Macaca mulatta: one gene and its partners. The protein of the gene in region 2 purifies or fractionates together with the protein of the main gene of each other region. This does not show direct contact. Links are inferred from orthologs where the notes say so. Each region holds a gene or a part of one and is shown on either strand. Other genes may lie near its edges.

What was found.
Region 1: the proteins of INAVA (region 2) and CYTH1 purify together in Homo sapiens (co-immunoprecipitation; 3 studies listed by BioGRID and IntAct, counting the BioPlex papers as one, with this or other methods). This does not show direct contact. The link is inferred for Macaca mulatta from reciprocal best matches to the Homo sapiens genes INAVA and CYTH1.
Region 3: the proteins of INAVA (region 2) and CYTH3 purify together in Homo sapiens (co-immunoprecipitation; 3 studies listed by BioGRID and IntAct, counting the BioPlex papers as one, with this or other methods). This does not show direct contact. The link is inferred for Macaca mulatta from reciprocal best matches to the Homo sapiens genes INAVA and CYTH3.
Region 4: the proteins of INAVA (region 2) and CEP170 purify together in Homo sapiens (co-immunoprecipitation; 3 studies listed by BioGRID and IntAct, counting the BioPlex papers as one, with this or other methods). This does not show direct contact. The link is inferred for Macaca mulatta from reciprocal best matches to the Homo sapiens genes INAVA and CEP170.

What each region holds. Positions count from the first base shown.
Region 1 is NC_133421.1:88,384,745-88,389,519, forward strand, and holds part of CYTH1 (cytohesin-1), read right to left. Parts: intron 1,440-4,775; coding exon 1,373-1,439; intron 1,075-1,372; coding exon 956-1,074; intron 598-955; coding exon 517-597; intron 1-516. UniProt on the Homo sapiens protein: Promotes guanine-nucleotide exchange on ARF1, ARF5 and ARF6. Promotes the activation of ARF factors through replacement of GDP with GTP.
Region 2 is NC_133406.1:58,538,116-58,543,561, forward strand, and holds the start of INAVA (innate immunity activator protein), read left to right. Parts: upstream 1-2,096; 5' UTR 2,097-2,523; coding exon 2,524-2,804; intron 2,805-5,446. UniProt on the Homo sapiens protein: Expressed in peripheral macrophages and intestinal myeloid-derived cells, is required for optimal PRR (pattern recognition receptor)-induced signaling, cytokine secretion, and bacterial clearance.
Region 3 is NC_133408.1:44,864,005-44,868,779, reverse strand, and holds part of CYTH3 (cytohesin-3), read right to left. Parts: intron 1,021-4,775; coding exon 944-1,020; intron 830-943; coding exon 758-829; intron 644-757; coding exon 489-643; intron 258-488; coding exon 185-257; 3' UTR 163-184; exon of another isoform or gene 1-162. UniProt on the Homo sapiens protein: Promotes guanine-nucleotide exchange on ARF1 and ARF6. Promotes the activation of ARF factors through replacement of GDP with GTP. Plays a role in the epithelial polarization.
Region 4 is NC_133406.1:5,892,064-5,897,613, reverse strand, and holds the start of CEP170 (centrosomal protein of 170 kDa), read right to left. Parts: upstream 3,428-5,550; 5' UTR 3,207-3,427; intron 1-3,206. Other genes in the region: SDCCAG8 (serologically defined colon cancer antigen 8), read left to right, coding at 4,341-4,407.

The DNA of each region.
Region 1 (4,775 bases), on a different chromosome or scaffold from region 2:
AAAGACCCACAGCTAACAGGTTTAATTGTGGATTATTTCCATCCAGCTAAATGATAGCACAAAAGATGAAGTCATTACTTACACCTACAGCAGTGAAAATACAGAATGACAGTTTCTTAAAAGGCAGAAGGTAACAAATTTAATAAAAAATTAAGGTTTACTTTTTTTCTTTCCAAAATGAAATGCATAACTACTTATTCCAGGGCAGGAAACTAAAGGATTTTCTAAACTTAAAAATTTAAAAATTTAAGTATTCATCAATTTCTAAAACCTCAAATGTAAGACTCAAAAAGAGTGTTACAGAATCTGCCTCCGGAACGTAACAGAACTGAATTCCCCTTGACCATCCAGTCGTTTCCAGTCAGAGACCAACAGATTTCTTCCCTCCAAAATACTCCAAAATATTCAAAATCATACCCAAAGATATAATTCCAATAAAATGGCACCCAGAACAGACTCATGATCAAAGGGTGGCCTCCCACTCCTTCCAAAGCGGCTCACCTCAAGAATACTCACCGTAGTGCCTGAACGAGATTAAGATCAGTGAACTCGTGCAGCTCCACAAATGCATGAAGAACCTGGATATTAAACTCATCTCTATCGAGAAAAGACAAAAAATGGGAGAGAAAGCAGGAGTCAGACACTGACACTGAGAATCTCCAGCCAGGCCATGTCTCCCACACTCCGTCCTGTGGCTGTCCAGACAGCTACTCTCGCACACTGTCAGCAAGAAGACTGGCTAGCTCTGCTGACTGGCTAAACAAGCTCGATGTCCCCATGACTCCCGGACAGACCCACCACTATTCCCCAGAAAAGCCTCCCCTCAACAGCAGTGTGGCTACAGATGATTTAAGGCAAAAACCCCTCCAAGAACCTAAAGCGTATTTGGGAGTTTGTTTCTTTGTGTCATTCCTGAACAGCCTTCCCTAGCACGCGCGCATCCCCAAGGCCTTGCCTCTCCCCTAGGTAGTCTCCGATGGCTGTCTTGTTGAGCCCTTCGCCTTTGTATAAGAACTGGGCGATGTCTTCACAAGTGTTCTTCAGCAGGTCGTTCTCTATTAAGAACTGGATCCCCTAGAAAAAGACAATGAAGACGCCAATGATGCTTTGCTGGGAAACAGCTAAAAAGAAGAGGAAAGGGCACAGGAAGAAATGGGTGTGGGCGCACTGGAATATTTAATAAATAGTTGCTAGCTGACCTAAAAAGCCGGAGAGTCACAGTTTAGGAACAAGGGCTTAGCGCATAACATTTGCTCTACAAAACGGCAACATGAACTGTAACACTTGGAAAGAAACGTTTTTAGGGTCTATCTGAGCACTATTAAAAAAACCCCATCTAATATGGACCACTTCCCGCTTCTTTCTCACTTACCTTTTTAGGGTCCATATTAAATTTTTTCCTGCCCATGGCTACCTGTTTGTTCCTCTGCATGTTTTTCCTGTAAAACAACCATCACAGCCATTTTAGTACTTCAGGCCATTGGAAAGGCTTGAAAGACTAGTATCATTTCCACATGAGGCCATTGATGTACACAGATTTTTGAAAGATTTATGCAGGAAAGCAACAGGCATAATCCGGTGGAACTATGAAAGGCCAACTGAAACCTGAAGCCTGAACCTGGCTTCAAGCTCATTTGCTCCTTCTACCCTGGATCAGAGGTTTTCTTTTTTTTTTTTGAGACAGGGTCTCTCTCTGTCCAAAGGCTGGAGTGCAGTGGCGCTATCTCGGCTCATTGCGACCTCTGTCTCCTGGGCTCAAGTGATCCTTCCACCTCAGCCTCCCAAGTAGCTGGGACCACAGGCGCATGCCACCATGCCCTGTTAATTTTTTTTTTTTTTGGTGGAGACAGGGTCTCACTGTGCTGCCCAGGCTGGTCTCAAACTCTTGCACTTAAGCGATGTGCCCGCCTCGGCCTCCCAAAGTGCTGGAATTACAGGCATGAGCCACTGTACCTGGCCAGTTTTCTTTTTTAACATGGTTTTTAAAAAAACTTTATCAGGGTATAATTTACTTATAATATTCCTACTGTAGGTACATATCTGAATTTTTAGTATACTAAGTTGTGCAACATCACCATAATCCAGTTTTTTTTTTTTTTTTTTGAGATGGAGTCTCGCTCTGTCACCAAGGCTGGAGTGCAGTGGCCGGATCTCAGCTCACTGCAAGCTCCGCCTCCCGGGTTCACGCCATTCTCCGGCCACAGCCTCCCGAGTAGCTGGGACTACAGGCGCCCGCCACCTCGCCCGGCTAGTTTTTTGTATTTCTTAATAGAGACGGGGTTTCACCATGTTAGCCAGGATGGTTTCGATCTCCTGACCTTGTGATCTGCCCGTCTCGGCCTCCCAAAGTGCTGGGATTACAGGCTTGAGCCACCGCGCCCGGCCCATAATCCAGTTTTAGAACATTTTCATCCTCCCTACGGAATTCCTCACATCTTTTTACAGTTAATCCTCACTTCTGCCTCCATCCCCAGGCAACTATTAATCTATTTTCTGTCTCCAGATTTGCCTATTCTGGACATATCATACAAACAGAGTCATAAAATATGTGGATTTTCAGATCTGGCTTCTTTCATTAGCATAATGCCATCAAGGTCATCGTGCTGGAGTGTGGGCCAGTACCACATGCCTTCTTGCGGCTGCGTCATCTTCCACGGTATGGATAAACCACATCTGTTTATCCATTTACCAGATGATGGACACTCAGGCTGTTTGCAGTTTGGGACGATTATGCAGAAGGCTGCTATGAGCATTTGTGTACAGGCCTTTGTGTGGAAACATGTTTTCATTTCCCCTGGGGAGATATCCAGGGCTGGACACTGCTGGGTCATATGGTACATCTATATTTAACTTTTTAAGAAGCTGCTAAATAATAGGTGGTTTTCTCGACTGTATCAGAATGAAAAATGCAGATTCACAGACCATGCTTCTCACAGTCTGATCCACCAACCAGCAGCCTTGGGAGCATGTCCGACATGAAGACGCTCTGCTCGTTTATACATACGTACCACCTGGGGCCTCATCAAAACAGATTCTATGTCTGAGAAGGGGCCTGTGCTTCTGTACGTTTAACATGATCCCATGTGTGAAGTCTGAGTAGCAAGGCTCTGGACTGGCTGAGTCACTCAAAGTACAAGGGGCAGAACCTAGGAATTTGAATTTTTAAAACCTTCTGCAGTAATTCTGGTGTGCACCCAAATTTAAGAACCACTGCCCATCAATGTCAATAGTAATTTTATAATCTCTGAGAGCAAAAGAGTTGCCCAGAAACAAAATCGTAACATGTTATTGCCTTGAAGAACACAGGTATTCGCTAGCTAAATCCTTGGAGGGAAGAACATCTTCCTAAGTGTTTTGAGAGTTGGTGTTTTTTATTGTTTTTATTCCAGGCAGGGTCTTGCTGTGTCGCCCAGGCTGGAGTACAGTGGTGAGACTGTGGCTCACTGCAACTTTTAACTCCTGAGCTCAAGTGATCCTCAGGCCCCAGCCTCCTGAGTAACTAGACTACAGGCAGGTGCCACCACAACTGGCTACTTCTTAAAACATTTTGTAGAGACAGGGTCTTCCTATGTAGCCCAGGCTGGTCTTAAACTCCTGGCCTCAAGCAATCTTCCCACCTTAGCCTCCCAAAATGCTGGTATTATAGGCGTGAGCCATCACATCCAGCCTGTTTTGACCTTTTGAAAGGAACACCTGAAAACTGTGAGTAGTATCAGAACTTCCAGGTGTAAGATAATCTGGGATCCCCTGTGAACAGCTGCCTTAAGAAATAAAGTCACAGGGGAAACACCATTTAATTTTAGCCAGAATGAAGGGTTATGACCAGATATCTAGAAATTCCTATTTAACTAAAATGATCATCTAATCATTTTTTTCTAAATCCAGTAAGATTACTTTGATCAGTATTTCCAAACAAATACCACAAGGAAAGGCCTGTTTCATGGTTTCCGGTGTAAGTGGCGAGGCAGTGTCAGAGGTGCCCACAGAAGCAAGGAGTGAAACTACTGGGAATACTCAACTTCCTGGGCCTCAGTCCGGTCCTTCACCAAAGGCTTTCCTGCAGCCACCAGAACGCACACTCCCAGATCTCTGCCAGCCACAATCTGTGCCACATGACTGCCCGGGACACACACCAAAGATGGCGCCCTCATTTCACTAGCTAGCCAGCTCACTTCTCCATCTGCTCCACTTGGAGCCCCTATAGCTCCAGGCCCTAGGCAGCTACCTCTCTAAGGGGCCTTCCCCAGTCTACACAGGTCTGACACCCTAGTAAGGTGTCCAAAGCAAAACAGCTGTTCCTGCTACTGGATCGCCTTAGTTAACTGACGCGTATACATTTCAGAAAGTGAAATCTTGTACTCCATGAGTATATTATTTTTGCTTGATTAAATAGTATTTAGGATAATTTCTACATAATGCTGGCATCAGGTCGTTGATGAGAAACATGAATTCTCTCCTGTGGGAAAGTCCGAGCAAATGTAATGCGTGCTTGAGAAACAAATGCAGGGTGAGCCTGAGTACCCGTATGGATGGATCCTTGGGGATCTGCAGAATCACTTCCCGCTTGGTGCTTTCAATACTGGAAAACCATTTTAAGTTCCAGATTAAAAAACAGTAATAACCTAAAAAACCACTCCCTGACTCACAACTTCGGATGCAGTTCATGATTACAAGTCTTCCCAAATTCACTGGCTGAGTACTTTGAATGCACTCACATTCCCGGTGTCTGCATTTCCTTGATGTTCTATGGTAACTGACAGAGAATTAATCAACAG
Region 2 (5,446 bases):
TCGCACCTCCTTCATCCCCCTCCATGGGCTGAGCAGTCAGTTTCCAGTGAGGACTCTGGTTTGTGCCTCCATGATGCCTACTTCTCAGGCCCTTGACCTCTTCCCTCCGCCTTTGACCCACTTTCACCCCACTGCCACAACGGGAGTCTAGGCGCCATCGCCCTCACCTGCACTCTGCACTCGTGCCTGCCCATGCTTTCTCCCCACTCCAACCACTCACAGGCCATTCATTTTCTAAAGGTCAGTCTGTCCAGTTCATCTCCTGGGTCAACATTTTTCAGCAGTGTGATGGTTAATTTTACATGTCAACTTGGCTAGGCCCAGTGCCCAGATATTTGGTTAAACTTTTTTTCAGATGTTTCTAGAAGGTGTTTTGTTGTTTTGTTTTTTTTGTGTGTGTTTTTAGATGAGATTAACATTGAAATTAATAGACTTCGAGTAAAGCAGATTACCCTCCAATCTGTGGAAGGCCTGGTTGGAACAAAGTCTGATCTCTCTGGAGCAAGAATGAATCCTGCCAGCAGGTTGCCTTCAAACTTGAACTCCAGCTCTTCCCTGGGTCTCCAGCCTGAGAGTCTAGCCTGCAGATTCTGGACGTACCAGCTTTCACAATCCAATGAACCAGTTCCTTAAAAATCAATCAATCTCTCTCTTGCATTCTCTCTTTCTCGATATAGCTGTCTATTTACCTATCTATACATACACATCTTACTGGTTCTGTTTCTCGGAGAACACTGATTAATTCAAGTAGCTTCTCTTCAACTTCAGTATAAAAATCTTAAATCCTCACCTAGCCCACAAGGCTCTTAGTCATCTTAGCTCATATATTGCCTTTGTACAAATTAGAAAAAGCCACCCTCTCTAGGCAGATACAACTCTGACCAAACACAGGGCGAGGTGGGTGGAGAATGGTGAACCTTCCCTCTTAGTATGGTGCACAACCTGGACAACCACATGGAGCTGCCTTACTTTTGTTTGTTTGTTTGTTGTGTGTGTGTGTTTAGTTGAGACAGAGTCTCACTCTGTCACCCAGGCTGGAGTGCAATGGAGTGATCTCAGCTCACTGCAACCTCTGACGCATGGGTTCAAGCAATTCTCGTGCCTCAGCCTCCTGAGTAGCTGGGACTACAGACGCCCAGCACTGTGCCTGGCTAATTTTTTTTTGTATTTTTAGTAGAGACAGGGTTTCACCATGTTGCCCATGCCATTCTTGAACTCCTGACCTCAGGTGATCTGTCCGCCTTGGCCTCCCGAAGTGCTGGGATTACAAGTGTGAGCCACCGAGCCTGGTCGTTCATTGTGAGTTTCTTTTTTTTTTTTTTTTTTTTTAGACAGGGTCTTTCCCTGTCTCCCAGGCCAGATTGCAGTTTCGGGATATTGACTCACTGCAACCTCCGCCTCCCTGCTCAAGTGATCTTCCTACCTCAGCCTCCCAAGTAACTGGGACTGCAGGTGTGTGCCACCACTCCTGGCCAATTTCTTTATTTTCTGGTAGAGACGGGTTTTCACGATGTTGCCCAGGCTGATCTCCAACTCCTGACCTCAAGCAATCCTCTGGCCTGGGCCTCCCAAAGTGCTGGGATTATAGGTGTGAGCCTCTGCGCCTTGCTGCCCTGCTTCTGGATGAGCCCCTGACTGACGAATTAGCTTCGTCTCTCTTCCATATTCTCTCCCTTTACTCCTTCCTTATCCCAAACCCTAACCTCCCTGCAGCTCCTGGAACCCGCTGTGCTCCCTTGCTGCTGTGCTTTTGTACACCTGTCACTGCTGTTTCAAGCCCCCTCTTATCTTCTGTTATTGCTTCCTCTGGCCAAGCTTTGCCAAGGCTCAGCCTGGGTCAGCCTCCCCTCTCCTTGCCCGGGGTCCCAGCCCTTACTTCAGATACTGTGCTGCTTCATCACTCGTCTAGATTGGATACTCCTCCAGTGAATAGGGCTTGAGCTTTGATCCATCGGGCTGGGCACTAGTAGATGCTCAATAAATGTTTGGTAACAAGTGAAAACTGGGAAGTGAATGAATGGATGAACGGGGACACAGCAGCTCGCAGCGGGCAGCAGGAGGCGCTCCCCGAGAGGGTGCTCCTTCCCTTCAGAGCCAGCCCGAGTTCAGCCAGCGGCCCCGGCGGGAGGAGTGGGAGTGGGCCGGGGCCGGGGCCGGGGAGGAGCGGCCATCCCCGCGCGACCCACACACCCGGGCTCCGCCGCCCGCAGCGCGGCACAGCGAGGGGGAGGGCGCTTGTGGGGAGGACAGGGTCGGAGGAGCGCCCTTCCGCAGGCTCCTTTCATTCTTCCACTCGGGGGTCTCCAGGAATGAAAACTGGCCCCAGCCAGGCCAGAGCGCGCGAATGAAAGGCGGCACTGGGACCAAGAGAGAAGCCTCGTCCCGCCTGGGCTGCGGAAACTGGCGGCGCCGGGGGTGTCCCGCCGCGCGGGCGTCCGAAAGCGGGGCAAAGGGGACAGCCTTGCCCCTCGAGCGGCTGCTCCCGCAGCTCGCGCACCCCTGCGGGTACCTCGTCACTCCCGCATGCGGCCCCGTCCCGACTCTTGGATTGGACTCTCCAGTCCCTTCTTGCGTCTTCCCCTCTTTCATCTGGGCCTTGGTATGCCCCAGGGGACAGATGTCTTGGGATCTTTAACATTTGGGATGCTGCAAATGCCGAAGTTAAATGAAATACCTCCGGGGAGGGCAGGCCGCGGGGAGGCTCGCGGGGAGGGAAGATGGCCTGGACAAACAGGTCCTGAAGCTGCGAGGCTGGAGCGGAGGGCGCAGGGGCAGGCGGGCGGCGCCAGAGCTCCATGGGACAGGTAAGCGGGAAAACTTCGGGGCACCCAGCGCGGGTGAACTGGAGCGGGGGATCGGGCCCCTGAACCCATGGTCTTCAGCCTTAGCGGAGGGAGGGTGCCTACAGGGAATGGGGTTATGTATCAAGGGGGCAGGAATTCTGAGTTCCTACCAAAAATGCACACTCCCAGCCCCTCAACCTTTCTCCGTCGACCTTCTTCGTGCCTGTGGATCTTCCTGGCCAGGTTCCGGGAAGCCAGAAAGCAGCCAAACAAAAGGAGCAAAGTCTCGGGCCAGCCTGGATGTGGAGGGCGCGGTGGGGGAGGGGAGCAGGGTGGACAGGACAAAGGGGCTTTTTAGAGAAAGCCTAGAGGTCTCATTTCAGGGCGCATTCCAGGCTGGCTTGGAGTTCCCCACTCCACCTTTGCTTAGTGGAGGCGAACACCTTTCCTAGTGAGCAGGGAGCAGATGCAAGTAAGAAAACAGTGAAGGAACCATCTCCCACCCCTCCTGCCTGGAGGGTCCCGGGCTATTTCACTTCTTCCTTTTTTCACTGTTGGCTCTAGCGCTGGCCATTGATTCCTTAATTCATGAAGTAAGATTTTTAGCAGTGCCTGAGACTGCTTTGCTGGGGGCTGTTGGGGATGTGAAGATGGTAGGATCAGGCCCTTGCTTTAAAGAACTTCCAATCTGGTGTTATCAGAAGACGCTAGAAGAAGGAACTTTTTTTAAAAAAATGGAGAGTGGGTGGCTACAGCGCTGGGGAAGAGCTTTCTGATTCGGGACTTTTCCTTAGGAAATGAAAACACTAAAGAGGTCCAGTTTCCCTTCCCTGGGGAAGGGCTCTTGTCTGCAAAGATCAGATTCCAACTACTATAATGTTTTGCAAGGAAATACCACTTCCTCACCAACTGGTGGTCTGGATGGTGCTCTAGGGTTTGGGGCTGGGGCATCAGTCCCCTGACTCCCCAGCCTGGCTGGAGTGGGGAGCTGTTTCAGATTCCCAGCTGGCCTCTGGAGTGCCCACCTCCCCCATTAGTATTTTGAATTGAATGACATGGCTATCAGAGAGCTCCAAGGATGGCTCCCTGGGATTCTTGGCAGGAGGTTTGGTTTGCCAGCTCCCTTCCAAACCTCAGATTCTGCAGGGTTGGGAAATATTGAGTGTGAATTTGGGGGAGCAAGGCGTTTTTGAGAATTCCAAAGGATCAATGCAAACAGATTGAGCATCTGTACTAACCTCCCCTGAAGTCAGAGATGGTGGATTACCTGAGGGCAGGGATTCTTAACTGGGTTCATTGGCATTAGGCATCTGTAGATAGAATTCAGAGGGTTTGTAAACTAGGTGAGGAAAAAAAAGATAATTGTTTTTCACCAATCTTTAACAGATTTTAACATCACCTTTAGTTGTGAAGACAACAAATCACGGTAGCATTGGCAGTACCTGTGACTTTGCCATTAATAGATTTCACAGTTTCATATCACATTGCAGTCACAGCTGTCTTGAAATATTGTTTACACTCAGCCCTTGTATGAAATTACCCACTGCTAGACCCTGCTTAATGTTAATAAAGAAGCATATATATTGCTATGTTTTTTTATTTTTAGAACTTTATGTCATACAATTGACTTTTTTAGTGATCTTCTTAATTTTATTCTATGCATTAAGAAATGTGAACTGTGAGCCAATTCTAGAAACTTCCACCAACCCCCACCTGGAGCTGGGGGTGGGCAACGTGGAGGAAGGGCCGCTTATGCCCAGAGTTAACCCCTCTCTGTTTGACTTTGTAAGAAAGTGCCAAGCCTCTATGGGGAGGGACTGTGTGTCATGGAGGACTGGGGAAGGGCAGGACTGCAGGCTCTTTGGGAGACCCAGAGAACAAGCTCCCCATGGGGTAGGGGGAGGAGGAACTGTCCCCTGTTAGGGCCCCTCAGCCTCAGCCTGGGCAGAAAATGAGGTGGTCAGCCCGCAGCACTCTGGGGCTAGCATTGTTTGGAAAAAGGGTGTGTACAGGAATGTGAAGGTGTGCTGGGTGTGTGTACCGGAGCTGTGGGGGATGCTGGCGGACTCCAGTCCCATGAGTTCTGCTCCACAGGAGATGCCTGGTGAAAGCAAACTTCCTCTGTCTTCTCTGCACTCGGGGGTGGGGAGTGGGGAATGGGGGACAGGGCTCTTTAGGGTCTGGGGGAGGGGAGGCAATCCAGACAAATACTGAGGCACTGGAATCTGGGTGAGGGGAATGGTGGGAAGATCAGAGAGTGGGGGGAAAGGGAGGTGGTAAGATGAAGACTTGAGGGGTGCAGCCTGCTAGGGACAGGCAACAGTCAGCCTTAGTTCTGCTTCCCTCTGTGAAATAGGCTAGATTCCAGTTTCCCATTTGCTTGGGGGTCGGGAGGTCTCTCCTCAAGGGAGACCTTGAGGCTTATTTTTCTGTAGGAAATAAGTTCCATTTTGGTCTCTGGTTCCTTGCATTTGGGGAGTGGGCTTAGGGTCTAGGGTCACAGTGGACCTCCTGTGGAGTAGGGAACAGGACTTGGGCTCAGGTCAGTGCCTGTCAGTGCCCCATGAACATGCGTTGCTGGGGGATGGATGTAATAATAAACAGAGAAGTGATGGCCTTGATACCCCTGGGGGAAAATGTCTGGGATAAAAAGAACAGCCTGA
Region 3 (4,775 bases), on a different chromosome or scaffold from region 2:
CACCTCCCAGGACCCCAGCCACGGCACGCGGCCTCGGGGATGCCATCTGGGCCACGGTACACTCTGGAGAAGCAGCTTGCACCGCTGGGCGACCGCCTCCCTGCCACGCCTTCCGCGGAGGGGCGGCCCGCGGTGTCTTTCTGCTGGGGTTGGGTCTTTTACCTGGGTCTTGTAGCCAGGAAAGCTATTTTTTATTGGCAATCCTTCGTTTCCTCGTTGCCAACATGTCATAGAAAGGATCCCTGCTGATACTGGCTCTGGTGAAAGAAGGAAAACATGCAGGTTAGGTCGTGGGTGACACACAGACCTTCCCTTCCCCACCAGCCCCAGAGGCTCCTGGGACAGGACCGCAGGCTCAGATCTGAGCATCGGGTTTCTGGAGGCAGAGGGTCCGCTCTTGCACACGGAAGCATCCACGTTCCAGACATCCTCCGCCCTCCAACCAGCATGAGAAGACAGGCCTGGCCCCGCCCCCGAACCCCGCTCACTTGATGGATTTCATCCACTCCTCCTTCTCCTCCGGGCTGGGGGCTGAGATCCGGTACACCACGTGGTTCCCCTCTACTACGCGGCCGTCCGCCTCCGTCTTACAGGCCTTGATGACCTGCCCTTTGTGGCTGGGATTGTAGAGCTCAAAACAGTTCTGGTGGAGAAAGAGAGGGGAGGCCGTCACAGGGGCTGGGGGCCAGGTTCCCTGCAGGCAGTGAGGATGGCTCCCAGGTGGCTGGCAGGAGAGAAGGTTCAGGAGGGAGCTTACGGGTTTCCGGGGGTCCTCCACCTCCCTGATGCTGAGGTTTTCCAACGGGATGATTCCCCTGGGCTCCTTATCCTACAAGAGAGAAGTACACGGGCGCTCACTGTGCGCCACCAGCCTGGGGGTCCCTCGGCCCCAGGGCAGCTCCGTGACTGCCGGGAGGCGACCAGGAGGCCCAACCTTACTTACTGTTGTGTATTCAAAGTAATAGAGGCAGTTATCAGTCAGGATGAACCACCTGCGCTTCCAGGTCTTCACGCGTCCTCCTAGAAGCAGAAGGGCCCCGTGAGTGTGTGCTCCGTGCACAGGGAGCCCGCGGGTCCAAGAGGGGGCCCTGGACCTGCACAGACCACTGCGTTTTCAGAAAGGCTGCCAGGCGCCAGGCTCGGGTTTAGGTGCCCTTCGGTGTTCCCACCGCGGGGCCCCGCATGCACCCACCCCGCCCACACCGGTGCCCCTCCACGGCACCGAGGGGCCCCCTGATGACACGACCGCACTCCAATTCGCTTCCTGGGAGTTAGTGGGATGGATGGCGTCATTTCTCCACATGAGATGGCAGCGTGATGAAGTCAGGACGGCTCGCCGGGCTCTGTCCAGGGCCTGACCCACCATGTCAGGTGGCTGTCACGTTACAGAGGCCCTTGGGCAGCCCTGGGATCCCCCAAACTCAATCACCCCTGGGCCCAGGGAATCGTGAGACTGAATTAATTCTGTAACAAGATCCGGAGCGCACGCGCGTACCCCTATCTGTACCTGCCCTCCTCTCACTAAGGGAAGGACATCTCTGATCCTTAAACACTGAGCAGACACAAACTGACTTCAGCTGCTAGCCTTGCCTGTGTTTGTTTTTTAAATAATTCAAAGAAACGCACGCGCGGGGCAATGAACTCAGTGCTCCCTGGGGTACTAGGCCGCTCTGCCCCACGCCTCCCCAGCGCCGCGCAGCTCACCCGGCTTTCTCTGTGACAGGCTGGCAGGGGAGCGGCCTCCCTGTGTGGGGGCCAGCACGGGCGCTGAGGCCTGGCGGCAAGATGCTGTGAGAAGGGCTCTGCGGATCACCCGAAAGGTTTCCCTTTCGGGGCCTGGTGTGCAGAGACCCTGGGTGAGGAGGAACCAGCTGCAGGTGGCAGGAAGCCTGGCTCAGCCGTACTGGCGGCCGGAAGGGGTCTCCGCAGCCCCTCTGGGATCCTCCGGCCCCTGCCTCACTCAGCACTGCCATCCTCCATTGATGCCTAAGGCAGCCTGCAATGTGGTTGCCACCGCCAGCCTGGGACAGAAGCCCAGTCTCCAGCTGTTCCTCGCCTCCCCACAGGCCCCAGTCTCATCAGTGTCCCACCAGCCCACCTGTTAAATCTAGACCCTGGTCTGGGCAAATCTGCCCCCCAAGCTTCCTGCTGCATCTCCCCAGCCCTCAAACCCTGCCCCCAACATCTCTCCTGAGCCCTGGCGGGGCTTCCACTCCCCGATCCCTGCAAGCTGCTCCGTCTGGAACCCACTGCCCCAACTGTGTGGGGCCGCCTCACTGGTCCCCTGAACACCCAGCCAGGCCCCAGCAAGGCCCAAAGCCCTTGTTGCCCTCGTGTCCCTGTCACCACGGGCTCCATGCTCCATGCAAGCCCTCGGCCTTCACCTTCCCCACCTCCGTTGCAGCATACCAGGGAGGCCTAAGTCCACAGGGGAGGGCAGGAGACCCTGGGGGCAACCCCGCCTTGTCCCTCAGTCCTCCAGTGAGCAGGGAGAGGCATTTTATGTCCCCGAGACCCTGGGGACAGGGGGACAGTGCTGATTCCTTCCAGGCACTTGCTCCAGCTCGAGCTGCTGTGGCAGAATCAGCTGACAGCAACTCCACTACCCTGACATCGGTCGCTGTCACAGTCGCCTCTGCTTCCCTCCAGAGACTCCAGAGCAGGCCCTGCTCCAGCTACACTGGTGCCAGCTGCCAGCCCCCAAACAGCAGCCAGAGGCATCTTTTCAAAAGCGTGTGGCGATCGTGCCCCTCCCGGCCTGACGCCCCCGCAAAGGGTCCCACTGCACTCGGCTTTAGACCCAACTCCTTGGGCGGCTGCAGGGGCCGCCCTTCCTGGCTCCCCAGCTGTGGCCTTTCTCCCTGCCCAGCTATCTGAGTCTCCAGTTCTTGGGGAGCTCATCCAGGAGCCCCCAGGTTGTGTGCTTCTGTCCAGCACCTGCTCTGTTCCTCCATGCTCCCGGCATGGTGGACAGCGATGGGCCTGTATGTTCCACTAGCCTGTCTACCTGGCCCCCGCCTGGGAGGGGTCCGCCTGGGAGGGGTCTGCCTGGGAGGGGTCTGCCAGGCGGCCTCTCAGCTCCACCCTCAGGTCCCCTGCTCACACCCCCCATGGACAGCCCCATCCCTGTCCAGTCCTCAGGGCCAGGGGATGGTTGCAGACCAGGACTGCAGGCCCAGGGCAGTGGGTGGTGAGCTTGGTCTCAGAGCCCAGCAGGCTCTGCTCGTGCTTGCTTCTGGCCACGCCACACAGCATTCTCGCCTGCAGACAAGAGCCTGGTTTCTGGAACCTGCAGACGGGAGCCACTTTCTCTCTGCAAGTTACTATTACCACTTTCTCTCTGCAAGTTACTATTTTCATTGAGCAGGCAGGTGCGCACACGGATCCACACGCACAAACACAGCACGTGCACACACTTTCTGCATGATAGCTTGGATTGGACCACCTCCTGTTTTTTGTGTGTGTGTGTGTGTGGTAATTGATTCAAGACTCAAAGTCTTAAGTTACCAACAATCGTAAGCCACGCCTGTGTACACAGCAGGGTTCCTACGCTCTGGCAAAGCATCCTGGCCTTTTTAAGACCACCTGCTCTAAAAGCCAATCTACAGTAAGAATACAGCCAAGTCAGGTCGCGCTCCCTGCTCAGCGCATGCCTGGAAGCATTCTAGATCCTGCACCCGTCTCGTCTGCCTCCAGCCAGGGCCCTGGCTCGCCAGCCTTTGGTCTCGAACTTTGCTTCTGAGAACACAGTAGGCACACAGGGTGCCTGGGTGGGAGAGGGCAAGGAAGCCAGCACCCTAGAGTGGCAGCCGCTCACCGGGCCGCCCACCACACTGAGGCCATGCCAGCTGCACCAGCCCCTCCAGGGTCCCCGCGCTTGGCACCCGACACCCAGCCAGCTCTTGGTTCCCGTGAGCGCTGTGTGCACTCATTTTGTGGCCTGTTTATCTGCCCAACCAGAAAACAGGTTAGATAACACGAGCTCTGCTGTGCCTTCATTTCATTCACGCATTTACATCTCCAGAGCCGACCCTTCCCTGGTGGCACAGGCCACATTAACTGCCAGGCAGGCTGACGGCGTCACTGTCCCTCGAGGGGACACTGGGGGGCAATGCAGGAACCAGAAGGGAGGCATCTAATCAAACGAACGTCCCACTTATCCCATCCCCAGAGCACCTGCTGCTGTTTCCGGTTACATCCCCCCCGCCCTCACTCTAGAACCCTCACACGAAGTGATCTGATCTGGTCTCTCAGGCACCCAAGCCCAAGACCATGGTGGGAGGTTTTCAGGCAAATACCTAGAACTCCCCTAAACCTCGGCAGAGCCAGAAAAAAGTCAAAGAGCAATGGCCAAGTCGAAGACCCTAATGGGAAAGGCAGACCTGTGGGACTCACATCCCTTCCACCAGCTGAGGAAGCCTGTGCCTGTCACACAGTGTCTCATCCTTCCTCGATAATTGTTATTTTATTTATTTATTTTTTTGAGACAAGGTCTCCCTCTGTCGCCCAGGCAGGAGTGCAGTGGCACAGTCATGGCTCACTGGAGCCTCAACCTCCCGGGTTCAGGCGATCCTCCTGCCTCAGCCTCCCTAGTAGCTGGGACTACGGGCACACACCATCGTGCCAGGCCAATTTTTATTTTTTTGTAAAAACGGGGTTTCACTATATTGTCCAGGCTGGTCTCAAGCTCCTGGCCTAAGCAATCCTCCCGCCTCAGCCTCCCAAAGCAGTAGGATTACACACATGAGCCACTGCATCCGAATGATAAATTTTTT
Region 4 (5,550 bases), about 53 Mb from region 2:
GCTGTTTTGTTTCTGCACCTTTATTTGATCCAAAAGTGGGCTTTACTGGTAACACACATTGGCTATGTCACTGGCTTTGGCTAAAACATTTCTGCTAAACTGTACAATATATCCAGTTTAATCAACCACACTACCAGACAGATGTTTTTTCTCTCTCACAATGGCTAACTCACTGCTGAACAATCCTTCATGAAATATTTGAGTAAGTAAATCAAAACCTAGGGTATTTGATTAGAAATTTTGGTTATTAATGAGATAAAGATGGTCTGATATTTCTTCCCATCAAAAGTATCCCATTTCTTAATGAAACAGATCAATATTGAATGCTTCAGTCAATATTATCTACTCACCAAGCATTCTTCAAATGGCATGTAACTGCTCTTTTGTTATACTTCCAGAATAATTTGCAACTGTACAGATATTTTAGTTAGCAATTAAATATCAGGTTGTCTGTCAGATACTTAGTTGAAAAGTACACTGCTTAACATCCCAGTGTTTGGGACAGATAAGAAAGAAAAGTCTTTACATATTAATTAGTATAGAAAAAATATTTTTCAGGAATAGAATTTTGTGGAATAAAAAAATTTTGACAAAAAAACTTAAGCATATACAATATTTAGTACTAGATGAGCATTATCTAATTGCAATCAGATACAATAATAAAACTAGTTCTTTTTTTCAGTAGATAAAAAGGAACAAGAAACTGATACTTAGAACAAATCAAACAAATCACGAAGCACAGAATTTTAAAAAGTACCATAGCAGCATTAATATGCAGAATGTATGCTAAGGTTTACAGTATAAATTTCACTATTCTAATGTTAAAATAGGGAACAGGCAGATTATTTCCATACAAAATAATCTCAGAACACAATGAAATTTACCAGTAAAATACATTTAAAGCATGATTGAATATAATTCCACACACTGAAATTTAGTTACACATTTTTTAAAGTTGAAATTTAAGATAAATAATAAATCCTTTAAAGAAGTCTATTAAAATGCAACATAAAATTAAACGATTAAAATTATAAGGCAAGAAAAGAGCACTTTATGGCAAAATCAACCCAATAAAAAACAAAGTCAATATATCTTAAAATGTAAATTCTAGTTTAAGTTGAAAGTAATCACTAATAACTCATTAATGATTACAACTCATTAACTGTGGTAAAATAAACATCACAGGCTCTTGTTATGCAGAAATTTTATTTTTAACACAGCCTATAGAGTTGATCATCATATTATTATAAAATACTATTGATTTTCAAGAAATAATACTAAAACCTACCATTAAGTAGTAGGGAAAACACTGCAACACTTCGTTTTTATGAAAAGCACATGTTAGGACATCTTTCCTCATTTAGTAAGTTACTTTATACAACTAAAGGTCCATTTCAGAAGAATTACTACTTTTACATCGCAGAGGCAAGAACTTGATTAATAACGGTGAGAATCAAGTTCAGTGATAGTCACAGCCTGCTCAAGGAGAGCGTAAAGAAGCTTTCCATACATTTTCACAGGGTAAAAGGGCTGGGGGGACACAGGAAAGATCACTCTGCAGAATGGACCTTGAGTTTCATTTGGCTCTGCCTTCCATTAACAGTCTGGCTTGGGCAGACAAGTCAGTTAACTTTCTGAGTTTTAGTGTCTTCCTCTGTCAAGTGCACTTGGGCTCTTCCGTGTTACCTACAAAGTTAGGAAGAGCTAAAGGCAGCCCTAGTTTTACTTTTTAAAAAATAATGACAGAAAAATACGTAACTTGCTATTCATCAGTGTACTGTTTCCAGAGCTGAATTCCTAAGTCTCTGAAGCATACCCAGCTAGGGTTATACCAGTGAAGATCCAGATACTATAGTCAAAATGTCACTCTCTCCTCTCCCATTATTCCTCCACCTGCTCCTCCCCATCCTGCGTTATCCTCTCTTCTGGTGTGTTTTAAGAAGCAACGCCAGCAAACGGCTGTATCCATTGTAAACTTGAGGATGAAATCGTTTTAAAAGATGCATTTTCAATCAAATGTATCATCTGCTTCGCCAAATTCCTCCCAAATGGCTAAATTTTCATTAATACAATAAAAATGAGGTAACAACTTCGGAAACAGAAATGACCTGGGCCAGTTGTTTTGTTTGTTCTACTTGCTTAAAAAATAAAACGGAAAGATGTATCTATTCCCTCAGGAACATAAATGCATTACCCGCCCATTGAAAAAACAATTCTGCTGGTTCATTTCCCTGACACAACAGCTTCGTTGTCAGGCCCTCTCCAGCCCAGGCTCCAATGTCACCTAGTAATTTTATATTGATCACCTTGGCAGTGCTTGGACTCCAGCAGGCATAGTCCCTGTCTCCCTTACATTCCTCAAAAATAAATTAAATAAATAAATAAAACTCTACGAAACGCCACTGAACAGAGATTCTGTGACTTAGTAGACAAATCCCACGTCTTCCCGCCCTGTGTTAGGCAGCTGCAAATGTTATTTTTTCATCGCTTGCATAAAATGGAAGCGAAACGTACCAAAACCCTATATTTGAATCCTAGGACAATGAAGCCGACAGGAAGCCACTCTCTCCTCCCCCGGGTTTACTACGGAGCCAGAGCCTCCGCGGGGTGCAGTCGCCTGGCAGGGTGCATGACAGCGCGTCTTCCACGCCCTCCCAACGCGTCCAAAAGGCTCCTCGCCTGACCTCGCCAACGGCCTCACACCTCAAAACCAACCACACAAAAGGGATCGGCCCGCGGAACTGCTCCAATCGGGGAAAAATCCCTTCCCCAGCGACAGCGCAGCCATTCCCTCCAATGCTCCGCCCGCACCCCTCGCAAACTGCTACGGCGGAAGGGGGAGGGCTGCACAAAGCCAGGAGAAAGCTGAAAATGAGTCAATGCACTTAGGGGACGCGGAGGCGGCGGCAAGGGACTCGGGAAAGCCGGGGGGCCGCAGGACTGGAGCTCCCGAGGGCGGCGGGTGGGGGATGGGAAGGGTGGTCCCGTCCAGACCCCGGTCCTGGGCGGGCAGAGGGTGGGGGTGGCGGCGCCGCGCGGAGCATCCGGGAAGCGCCCCCTTCGCGGTCCAGCCCCGCAGCCCCGCACCCCCGCCCCGCGGCGGGCCGCGCCCGAGTCCTCGCTGCAAACCCGAGGAGCAGGACGTGGAAAAGCAGCCGCGGCGGCGGCTGCGGCGCCTACACCGAGCAGCCGATCGCATCACTTACCCCTCACAGTGGCGAGAGGGACCGGACGGGGGAGGCGGGGCGCGTCGCGTCCCGTGAGTCTCTCGCACGCCGTCCTCCCCCCACCTCGTCGTCGTCGCCGCCGCTGTTGTCGTCGCTGCCGCTGCGGTCGAGCTCCGGGGCCCTCAGCTCCGCTGGGCAATAACGTTATTCCACACACGCCCCACACATAGCGGTAACGGCAAAGAGCGGCTGCCTAGTGCGCAGGCGCCTCGGGAAAGGGCGAGGAGCCGGACCCTATCCCCTCCTCCTGCCCAGTTCCAACGATTCCTTACTGCGCAGGCGCCAGACACAGACAATGAAAAGGGGTTGTGCGAGGGTCTCACCCACACGTTTTTCCAGCTTGCCCACTGCGCAGGCGTGCCCCGAAAGACCAGCTAGAACAATGAAGAGGACCTCGGAGTTAGGTGGGACCGCAACCAACAAGGACTACAGTTCCCAGCGGGCAGAGCGCCAACTCCAAGTGGAGGTCCGGTTACTGGGCATGCTAGGAGTTGTAGTGTCGGCCGCCTTTACAATTTAGGCTGTTTGGAGGATTTAGAGCTTCTATTTCTTGAGGATTTATTCGACCGTTAAAAAAAATACCGCAACCGAAGCAGGGTTCAGAGGTTCCTCTCTGCGTCCTTGAGTAACCTAGGGATCAACTGCTGCATATTAGCAAATTCGAAGCGTCAAGGCCTTCAGTGAACCCTTTCTGTCATTTGGGGTGGTCCAGGCGGCAGAAGAGCGGGATGGAGGCGGGACTAAACCAGGCTGGGCTGGAGGAAAAGGGCGGGGCCTGCAAGCCTGTCTCTTGGCAACAGGCTCTGGCAGCCCAACCGTCCGAGCTAGCGCTTGGTGCGCAGTGGTCTCTGGGAATTGTAGTGTAGCTGGAAGGCTCTAAAGATTGTCGAGCTTGGAGGCGCTGAACATGAGGACTACAACTCCCGAGGTCCAACGCGAGGGCCAGTGGGTGGGAAGAGCCCCCACGAGCTTCGTGCGGGATTCTAGGCTCCCCTGTGACAGCCGCGGCAGGAAGCAGGCCGGCGCTCCGCGGCCACAGGCCTGCTGTTTTCGGAAGGGAGAAAGCTGGACATTTCCCCACGTAACTCCCAGCTCTGGGCCTAGAGTGTGTGCATGGCGAAGTCCCCGGAGAACTCTACCCTGGAGGAGATTCTGGGGCAGTATCAACGGAGTCTCCGGGGTGAGTTGCTCCAAACCTCTGTCCCTAGCCCCGAGGTGCCCAGGGCCTAGTGGGCGGAAGCGGACCAGGTGCGTCTCCTAACACCTGGGTCTGCCCCATCCAGGCTACAGAGGAGCAAGATGGATGTTTGCTGTGGTCTTCTGAGGAGGATGAAGTAGTTTGATTTAGTTTTTACAGTTAAGCAACGATGTTTCCTCAGATTCCCTTAGTTACCTGAATCAACTCCTTGATCTTGGCATCCTTCTCAACCAGCGACAGCAGAGACTCTTGGATAGCTCTATGTCATTTTTGCCCAGTTCCCATACTTTGTTGTTTAATCCAATAAAAGTCTGATGCACAGTTTTTACACATTTAAATTATGGCATAGTGGATTGAATGTGATTTATAGGATCCGTGGGGGGAAACACTAATAATTATTTTAATCACAACAGCCCCCATTTAATTGGTCTAGGCTATTTGCATACAGTAAATCATCTGCAGCTTACAACAGTTGTATGAATATTTTACACATGGGGAAATCGAAGCTCAGAGAGGTTGAATTACAGGCCACAGCCCACACAGCTGGTTAGTTGCAGAGCCAGGTATTATCAGGCTTGTCTGTCTTCAAAGCCTATCTAATCAAGCCATAACTACTATTATCAAAACCTTATTAATTCAGATTGTCTTACCACATTACCCTATGAGCAAGTATCTGTACAAGTAATGTCTGTATTTATTTTCTTTTAAGCTCTGTTGGACTTAATGTCTGTACTTTTAGATGGCGCTGTCACCTTGGACAATATATATGACATCTAGAAATTTCGATTCTCTTATAATGGAAGTTATGGAATTGTCCATAGGGTTATTGTGGGGAGCAAATGAAATAATCCCATAAAGCAGCGATTTTAAGACTCCTTAAAATGTTTACCTATAGTAAGAAATAAATTTTATATGGGACATATGTGTACATATAAACTATAAGTTTCAGTGAAGAATTTTTATTCTACTAAATATAATAAACTCTGCTTTCTATTCTGTTGCATTTTCATAACCCTCTAAGTCATGACTGTTTAGGACATTTGGAATACTAAGTTATGAAGCATATGTTGTTCTGCATAATATGCCTACTATGTGTCAGTGCCTCCTACTATGTGTTAAGCATAC